Arabidopsis thaliana: one gene and its partner. The protein of the gene in region 2 interacts with the protein of the main gene of each other region in a pairwise test. Each region holds a gene or a part of one and is shown on either strand. Other genes may lie near its edges.

Region 1 (4,849 bases), on a different chromosome or scaffold from region 2:
TTAAAACTTTTAGTATCCAACATCACCCCATCTCTTAACCCTAACTCGGTTCACAAAATCACAAAACTACTTTACTTGCAAGAGAAATAACTGATCACCACACAAATACAATAGCTAAAAAGGTCGGGAAAAAAACAAAACATGTTGATCAAAACAAGTGAAAACTATAGTTTATATTATATCACCTAGTAGCTAAATTGACCACGTAATCACATAAAATCTGATGAATCTCTACAATCACCTATGATAGAAATACAAGAAAGAGTGAAACTTTACCGAAAATTTTCGTAAGATTCGATTGGATAGATCAACAGAGGAACTAAAGGAAGAATCCCACACAGACAGATCAACAAAGAGCAGAGAGAGAGGAAAAAATAGAATCTGTGACTCTGTCAATTTTATCGACTCATGTTTGTTTCAATGACGAATATACCCTTTCACCAATATCTTGCATTTGATTAATGGTCGTGGTGAAGGGATAAAAATGAGAATTCAGTGTCTAGCCGTGATGACGTGAACCGTTAACTCGTGGAAAACTGACAAGTCATCAAGTAACAGTCACCGATTAAATTAAGCCTAATGGACGCCACGTGTACGGCGCCTGTGTCAGGGATGGTTATGGATAAGGTGGTTTTTTTCTTTTTTTCTTTTTGTAATGTTTGGATGTGACTTTAGTGGGATGTGTGGGAAACTGTTTTATCTACTTTGAAAGTAAATGACCAATATGGGCCTAGGCCCATTTAAATATCTACCGGTCCAAGCTTTATGACTCGATCCTTTTCGGCTCATCTCAATTCCTTTCTTCAGCAGGTCAGCTGGTGGTTATAACTAACAATCTTTCGTATATACTAACAATTATAACAAACACACGTGGAACTCGAGAGTAAAATAACCACCACATACACAAGAGTCACGAGACTCACGACGCACCTTTCGTATACAGACAATCTTAGGACCATTTGCCTACAATAAAACCTTAAATGTGGTTTTGTCTCCATTTTGCTGTATCGTTGTCGTAGTGCAGGCCCAAATTAATTTGTCATTGTTGACTTGTTTGTAGAGTTTGGAGCTCTCATTAAATGTTGTAGTGCAGGAGCAAATTTTTCCTTTCTCCTTACGAAAATAAGATCGAAATTGCGATATGTTACAAATACCATTAACTTTAGAATACAACAAGAAAGTTTGAATAAGGGTATGTTACAAAGATATAGAGTTTGTGACGGAGTTAAACCAAATTACATGAATCATTGCAACGAAGTTGAAAAGCTTGGTCACATTTCATTATATAAGAATTATATAGAGAATTATATAGCTATTTAAATGTGTTTAGGTTTTAGTATAAGAAGAAGCTGTAAAGTTTTGGGGTAAAACTATAACAAATGTTTTGATCGAGTTTAATAAAAATACACATGCAACTTAGGACATGAACAATAGCTAGCTTGGAGCTAGAAAACATTGATAGGTTTTTCAAATATTCAAGACCCCTCTGATAATAGTACATAACACAAATCTAGACGAAGATACCAGAAGCTTCTTCCAACTCAGGTGAAGGATCAAGCTTGGCCGGAGAAACGGAAGGATCCTTCACAATCAATCGAATCTCCGCTTTTTCACCCCACAAACTATACTTGAGAAACGCAACCACAATTCCACCTACAAAGCTCCTCATCTCAGACTTTTTTCTTTGCCCATTCTTACACATACAACCGGCCATAAACCCAACAAAACCGGGCAAATCATCGTCCAACATATCCATATGTCCGTAATCCGCAGCCACGAAATGGGCTTTCGTCGCCTTACACTCTTTGTAAAACTCCTCATGGTTTAAGTCCGTTGGTGCGCATGGTGGCATCACGTTGTTCCACTTCGGTCCGAGTCCGGTTCCCACCACTGCAACCGGTATGTCCAGCTCGAAAGATTCCGGTTTATACGTTAAGATATGCGGATCGGTTCTAATGTATTTGTTAGTTCCTGCGACTGGATCAATTCCTATTAGAGCTGAAAACGTGATGGATGGGTCTAATGTTGCGGCATGGCCTAGCGCAACCGCAAACGCCGTTTTCCCACCGCGGCTGTGGCCCACGAGTGAGGTGTATTTTCCATTAGCATTTACCGAAGTTGGTAGGTGAGCTTTGAGGTTTTCCGATGCCCAGTTTATCACACTTCCAGCATCGTCCACTTCCACTTGCCCTCCCGGCGGCAATAATTTGCACAACTGTCATTCAAGAATATAAAATTAACTTATATCTTTTCACGTAACAATCAATCTCAATTAATGTACATTTTGTTTTACATGTTACATGTTACATACCGTAAGTTATCCTTTTAAATGATTCATAATTATTTTTTGTATAGTTAAATTATGTACCTGTGGGGCTACAAGAATGTAACCATGCGAAGCGATGTGGTTAAGAACGTCAGAGTAGAAGTAGTTGCGAAGATAAAAGCCATGGAAGAATAAAACGACGGGATAAGTTCCGGCGACTGTTGGACAGGTGATTCTCACCGGTTTTGGCGGTGCTGTTGAATCATTTTCCACCGGATCCACCGGTATCTCGGTTGTCGGGAGGCTGCCTATCTCAAAAGCCGCCGGAGTTACCACAGAGGAAAACGTTGGACTGTCCTCTATCGCCGCCATTTGTATTAAACTAGATAATTAAAGAGTTGTGTTGAAGATTTATGTATGAATCCTTCGAACTTTAGCTAGTTGTTTTGTATTTATAGGGGGAGAATGTTGATTTTTCTTATCCGATTCATTATAATTCTGTGGTTCTCTCGGCTTCTCATCGTAGTTATAACAAAATGAATTAAATACTTTCGAAAACGATAAATGCATGGGCTGCGTAAACAAAAGAGCATGTGTTGATTCAAATTATTACAAGTTAGTTGGTATACAATTACTCCATGCATTTATCATTTTCGGAGTACAATTTAATTCGTTTCCCGAAAACGATGTGTCCATAAACACATACCAAGACTTACTAAGTACTACTAAAAAATATAATCAAATTGCATTAGGAAACATATTGTTATGTTTGTTAAAAAAAACATTTTGTTATGTTTGTTCAGTAAAAAAAAAAAAAAAATTGTTATGTAAAAAAAAAAGAAACAAATTGACCAAAAAAGTAAAATTTGACCAAAAACAAATAGTAGCACAAGAAAAACAGAGAACAGAAAAAGAAGAGAGGAAGGGTGACGTGGCACAATTTCCCTGCGACGCACCCAACCTCCGTCTCTCTCTCTCTCAGATCGGCGGCCATCTCCGTCGAGTAATTGAAATCTCTCTCAGCCGTTGGATTCGAATTCCGCCGCATCTTCATATACCTCGTTTCAATCCTGCGGAACCCTAGTTGCTCTGGTGAGTCCCTGGTGAACCCCCGGATTTTAGAATCATCTATTGTATTTACTTTAATTCCGTTCCATTGATGATTTCTGCGTTAGATTTTGAGGTCTCTGCCTTCACCTCTATGTATTATAATGGCTCTGATTCGAAGTTCACATTCTGTTTGTTTATATGCAGAATTGTGGTTTGCTACTGTGATAAGTTCTTCAGTGGTAGATTAGGAAGCACCACCAATGGAGATTGTGTAAGACATATTCATTACAGCTCTCTTTTAAGGATTATGGGGTCTGTTTGCTGTGTGGCTGCAAAGGACAGAAATGTTCCCAGTGGAGCTATTGATAATTCAGTGTGTTCACCATCGTGGAGTTTTCGACGGGACAACAGGAGGCGTGTAGCTGATGAGATTAAAGATTCATCTAATCATAATGTTGGGAGTAGAGGTATTGACATCGATAAGTTGTCGTTAGGCTTAGAGAGAGGACCTCCGTCATCTGAAACTGGGGGTTTAGCTACTCTTGGCTCTCAGAAATCCGCAGACTCAGAGATGGGCACAGCTTCGATGGTTACAGCTCCTTTAGCGGGTACAAGTTTGGCGATTCGATCTCCTTCAGGTATGTTCGTTCAAACACTTTTTTTGTGGGGAAAGTGTAGAACTTTCAGTTTCATTGTTTGGGAATATACTGTTGAGTCGATTTTAGTTCCTTCGTGGATGTTCTTTTCCAGTCTACTCAATCCAGTCAAAGGGGTAACAACATTTATTTGGTAGGATTAGATCGAGAGACATTTCATTTTTTGGTAGAGATCATTTCAGCTTTATTTTCTTACTGTAATGAAGGATTTTTTTCCTGTCTCTCATGCATCTATTTTCTCTGGGCAGATGTATCCTTGGCAAGTCCTGTTCGTGTTGAGGTGAGATCATTACTTACTCCAATCAGAGTCTCTTTTCGTCCCTTCAGAGTCTCTTAACCCTCTCGTCTTTTAATTCTTCAGGTGAAGAATATAGTTGACTCATCAGATATTGTTTCATCAGTTTTACCAAATCCGTCAAGTTCCACCTCGGTCTCTGATCTTCCTTCAGCTCACACACATTCACTTCCTCCCAGATCAACTCCGTCTAGACGTGCTCGAGGTTCACCTGGGCAGCAGTTGTTTAGGCAGGTTTCTGATAGTCAAACTTTGGGATTGAAATCTCCCAATAATTACTCAACATCTGAAGGAAGGTCGTCCTTTGTGCTTTCGACCTGTAGTAATGACACTGCCACTGGGTCCCATTTTGCTTCTTCTGAAGGTGGCTGGTCCATAAACGCCTTTTGTGAGCTCGTGGCTCAGTCTCAAAGGGAGAGATGGTCTTTTGATAATGAGCACTTAGGTTCCGGACGACGAAGACTAAGTGGGTGTAGTAGTAGCAGATTCTCATGCTCCCCTTCTGTTGATCAGCAGACTTGTGGGCGTTGCTCAAAGCTTTTAACTGAAAGGTCTCCAGTTGCCAGGTTTGACCTTCCAATT
Region 2 (4,043 bases):
TATGAAGTGAAATTGTACTCTTTTTTAATATAATTTGTGATCATATTGAAGTTATGACACGATTTTTTTTAAAAAGTTATGACAACTTTTTTTTCATTTTGTAAGGGAATGTATTCGTGAAGTACCGACAAGTACGGAGAATATTGCGAAAGCGTTCGTGTGCATTAGTGAGACTATGAGAGCATTCGTGAAAAGCACAGAATCTTGTAGAAGTACCTTTTTCGCGTACGAACTTGTACCTTTTGTTCTAAATCACGAAGGACCCTACTTGTGTCATCTTTTGTTGTAAACAAGTAGTGGTAAATCCACATTATTACAAACTTGAATATCGATCAAAATGTAAATATATAGTAATATTTATGGAATAGATATAGTAGTATACTTTTGAATTTGAAAATTAGATGAGAGACACTTATAAAATTCTTAGACTTCTAATTCAAAATCAATTGATAATTAATACATTATACTTTACAGACATATATGTATTTATCTTGTTAACATTGGAAAATTAGTTTCAGTTTCTCTGTAATAGTTATCTAAGGCTTTTTATTTTTTTTTGGCCATAGAAGCTCCTTGCCCCCAGCTTTGTAAATAACCTCTTTCCTTTTGGTAATATAATTCACATTTTATCAAAAAAAAAAAAAAAAAATTGGAAAACTATGTTTTCGATAATATGGATAATAATCCGGATAATGTGGATTTGGATAATTCAAACAATTCAGATAGACATGGTGATTGTACTTCGGATAATCCATCCCCCACAACTTGTGATTAATTTTATCTTTGAAAATTATTATATCAATTAAACTTAACAATCTGTTTTGACCTAAAGAAACTTACAATTTATTTATTCTATTATTTTTGGTTTTCATCTGTTTGCTATTTGTCTTGACTTGGGAAAAAACACAACTTGAAAAAAATGATATAGCATTACTAGATTTTCTTTGGATAGATATTACAAATTTTCACTCTCGAAAAAATCTACTTAATTTTGTTTTCTTATCATAGCCATGTCTCTGTTTTTTTTTGTTTCTTTATTCACCATCTTCTTGAAATTCCCATGAATCATGAGACTTTTTCCAAGTTTGAACTAAGAAGAAGAGTAATCCCGAGAAGAAGGAGAAGAAGTTGAATAACTATCCTCTGATTTGTCTCGCAAGTAACGACTCCGACCGTAACCTAATTCTCTCACCACCGACTCAACCATCCTCCCAGCCAGTCCGGTTTCAATACCAATCTCTCGGCCACAACATACCAAAGCGGCTATTCCCATCATCCACATGGCTGCAGCTACCCCAACACCAACCATAGCCGACACAAGAACCGCTACCGTTACCATAAAAGCTGGAGCAAATATCAGCAGCAATGGAGAAGCGATCAGAAACAGAGTCACCGTCGCCACAAAGCTGAAACTCATCAGACCAAAAAGCGGTCCTACCACTGCAACAGCTGCTACGGTTGCAGCCACAACCGAAGAACCGGTCGTTCTTTCTCCATCGGTTATGGCTATGTCTCTTCTTCTCCTTCCTCCAGGATTCTCCATAGTAGTAGTGTGAAGTTGAACAAAGAATTTTGTACCATGGCTATATAGAAAGGAAGATGGTAGGCTACTGACACGTGGATACCGATAAGCTACAGTATTACGACACGTGGATAGTCTTGTATATCCAAAACGCCAAAAAACTGTCTCGAAACATTATCCACAACCACAAGGCTTACGGATTTGAACCGGACTGAATTAACCGAATCGTATCTAAACTAAAACCGAACTAAAATTTACCACTGAACCAAATTGGTATAAGAAATTATTGACTCTAAAACTAGAATTATCCAATGATTTTCTATTGGCAATGAAACAAACAACACGAAGCTATCAATGAAAGTTATCAGAGTTCTGGGATTCATATGAAACTTTTGTTAATTGTTTTTGTACTTTATTTTTCGAACCATACAACATCATTGACACAAGATTCGATGAAAGCTTGCTAGTAGCATAGTGAGCCAAAGAATTGTTTTTTTAGTAAATAATGAAAAAGGAAAGATTTTGGTGAAGAGGGCTTAGCTGAAATTTGATTTAGCAACTTGTGGAAGAGATTTGAGAAGAGAAGGTGATGGCCTCCGAAGAGTGTGATTGAGAAGTAGCATCAAAGTGAGAAGTGTTAAAGCTCCTGCTTGGTGTGCACTTCCTAGTGAAACCGGAACATAACTCAGAAGCGTTGATACACCTAATGTCACCTGCAAAATACAAAAAGGGAAACCTTATCAATGGTTTTGATTTTAGGTTTCCATTAAAGTTTATGATGATTGATTTTACCTGAACAGCAGTCATTCCAACAGTACTTCCGATCAAAGCTTTAACAGCTGGATGTATGTCTAGCTTCCTTGTGAACCACCACATTGTTCCGATTGCGATTAATGTTGTGGTTGCCAGAAGGCGATGATCAAGCTGAAATTTAAGTAATTTTTCAGTCTTTTTGAGATTCTTGAAGCAAATTGAGAAAGCTTTGTGTCAATGGTGTACCTGAACAGTTGCTGTGTTCTCGAAAAAGTTGCGTAAAAGTGGTTTCATCTCAAATATATTATCTGGGATCCATGTGTCACCCATTTTGGGAAATGTGTTGAATGCACGACCCTAAAATTCACAAACAGAGAGATCAATATACTAAGCTTCCTTTCTGTAACTAATATAATAGAAGCTTAGATCCAACTTTGTTAGTTTACTTACAGCATCATTTCCAGCAACAAATGCTCCTGAAATTGCAGTGATACCAACAATCAAGCTTACTGGTAATGCAAGCTTCTTCACTTTAGCTGCTCCGCGAACCCAAGCCAGTGACTCAGCTGGTGGTTCAGGCATAACAACAGAGAGAGCGGTCCAGAAAAGTCCACAATAAATGGCAAAAGCTGAGGTCAGGTGAGCTGCAAGACGGTATGGGCTTACCCTCGGTTGAGAATACTCAGACGGTGGCTCCTACAAGACCAAACTGATTACTGGTTGGTTACACAATATTCAGCACATAACAACATCTAATAAGAGGATCTACCACACTTCCTAATGCTTACCTCTAAACCACTTTTAACCATCCACCAACCAATGAAACCTTGTCCAGCACCAAGCGCAAATAAACCAGAGAGCTGAACTCCAAGACGTAGAGTAATATACCCTTTACGCAGAAAATAAGAAAACGGCAAAGCAAACATGATTCCCAATCCTCTTCCCCACATTCGATGAGCATACTCCATCCAATATATGAACTTAAAATCTTCAAGGTTCATCCCTTTGTTCACACTACAAAACACCAAATCCCAAAACACAAACAGCATTTTCAAGATCAAGACTTCGTCCAAATACAGAAAACGCAAATGCAAGCAACAGCTTTAGCTACCAAAATCGAAACACTAACCGCTTATATTCAGGTGACTGCTTATATTTCTCAAACTCCTTAGCCCAAGCTTCATCTGACAGAGGAGGGAATTCACCAGTAAATTTCCAATCAGTCATCGATAAACCAGATCGAGTTAATCGGGTTACACCGCCAAGTACAACCATGCTGAAAACCCAAGCAGCCGAACCAAAAAGCCAAATTCCAACCCATTTCTGAGCTTGAGGTCCTCCAGTGACAAGAAGCTTCAAACCCTCTTTACTCTCTGAGCTTATCGACGCTACAGTTGACATCCTCCTAAACATTGAAGCATTTTGACCCTACACAAAACATAATCCTGATCAGAGCCCAATCTCAGGATCCTCTAAAAGTAACCAAAAATCTCAAGTTTAACATAACCCTGATCAAAAGTCTCAACCTTTAACGAAAAAGTATCAACCTTTTTGGGAAATTATTCACACTACCTTGAGCAGAGATCGCAAGCCATAGAAGGAGTTTCCAGCTAAAGGAGAAGACGAAGCAGAGGTTACAGAAGCAGCTGTAATGTTAGAAGTGAAAACTCGATGAGACGAAGTGGTGAATCCTCGAGCAATTCCATTAAACGCTTCTTTGTTCCTCTTCAGAGCCGATCCAACCGCCCGAAACATCTCTATCTCTCTA

The links. Proteins that work in one complex are often made in the same cells at the same time.
Region 1: the proteins of AT5G56100 (region 2) and CLH1 interact in a protein complementation assay, tested with the Arabidopsis thaliana proteins (one large-scale study listed by BioGRID).

What each region holds. Positions count from the first base shown.
Region 1 is NC_003070.9:6,802,286-6,807,134, forward strand, and holds CLH1 (chlorophyllase 1), read right to left. Parts: upstream 2,808-4,849; 5' UTR 2,639-2,807; coding exon 2,369-2,638; intron 2,216-2,368; coding exon 1,511-2,215; 3' UTR 1,201-1,510; downstream 1-1,200. Other genes in the region: AT1G19680 (RING/U-box superfamily protein), read left to right, coding at 3,624-3,954, 4,221-4,252, 4,334-4,849. UniProt on the Arabidopsis thaliana protein: Catalyzes the hydrolysis of ester bond in chlorophyll to yield chlorophyllide and phytol. Shows a preferential activity toward chlorophyll a. Does not seem to be required for chlorophyll degradation during senescence.
Region 2 is NC_003076.8:22,714,621-22,718,663, reverse strand, and holds AT5G56100 (glycine-rich protein / oleosin), read right to left. Parts: upstream 1,748-4,043; 5' UTR 1,544-1,747; coding exon 1,091-1,543; 3' UTR 815-1,090; downstream 1-814. Other genes in the region: COX15 (cytochrome c oxidase 15), read right to left, coding at 2,059-2,235, 2,315-2,446, 2,522-2,632, 2,726-2,971, 3,064-3,289, 3,405-3,703, 3,848-4,030.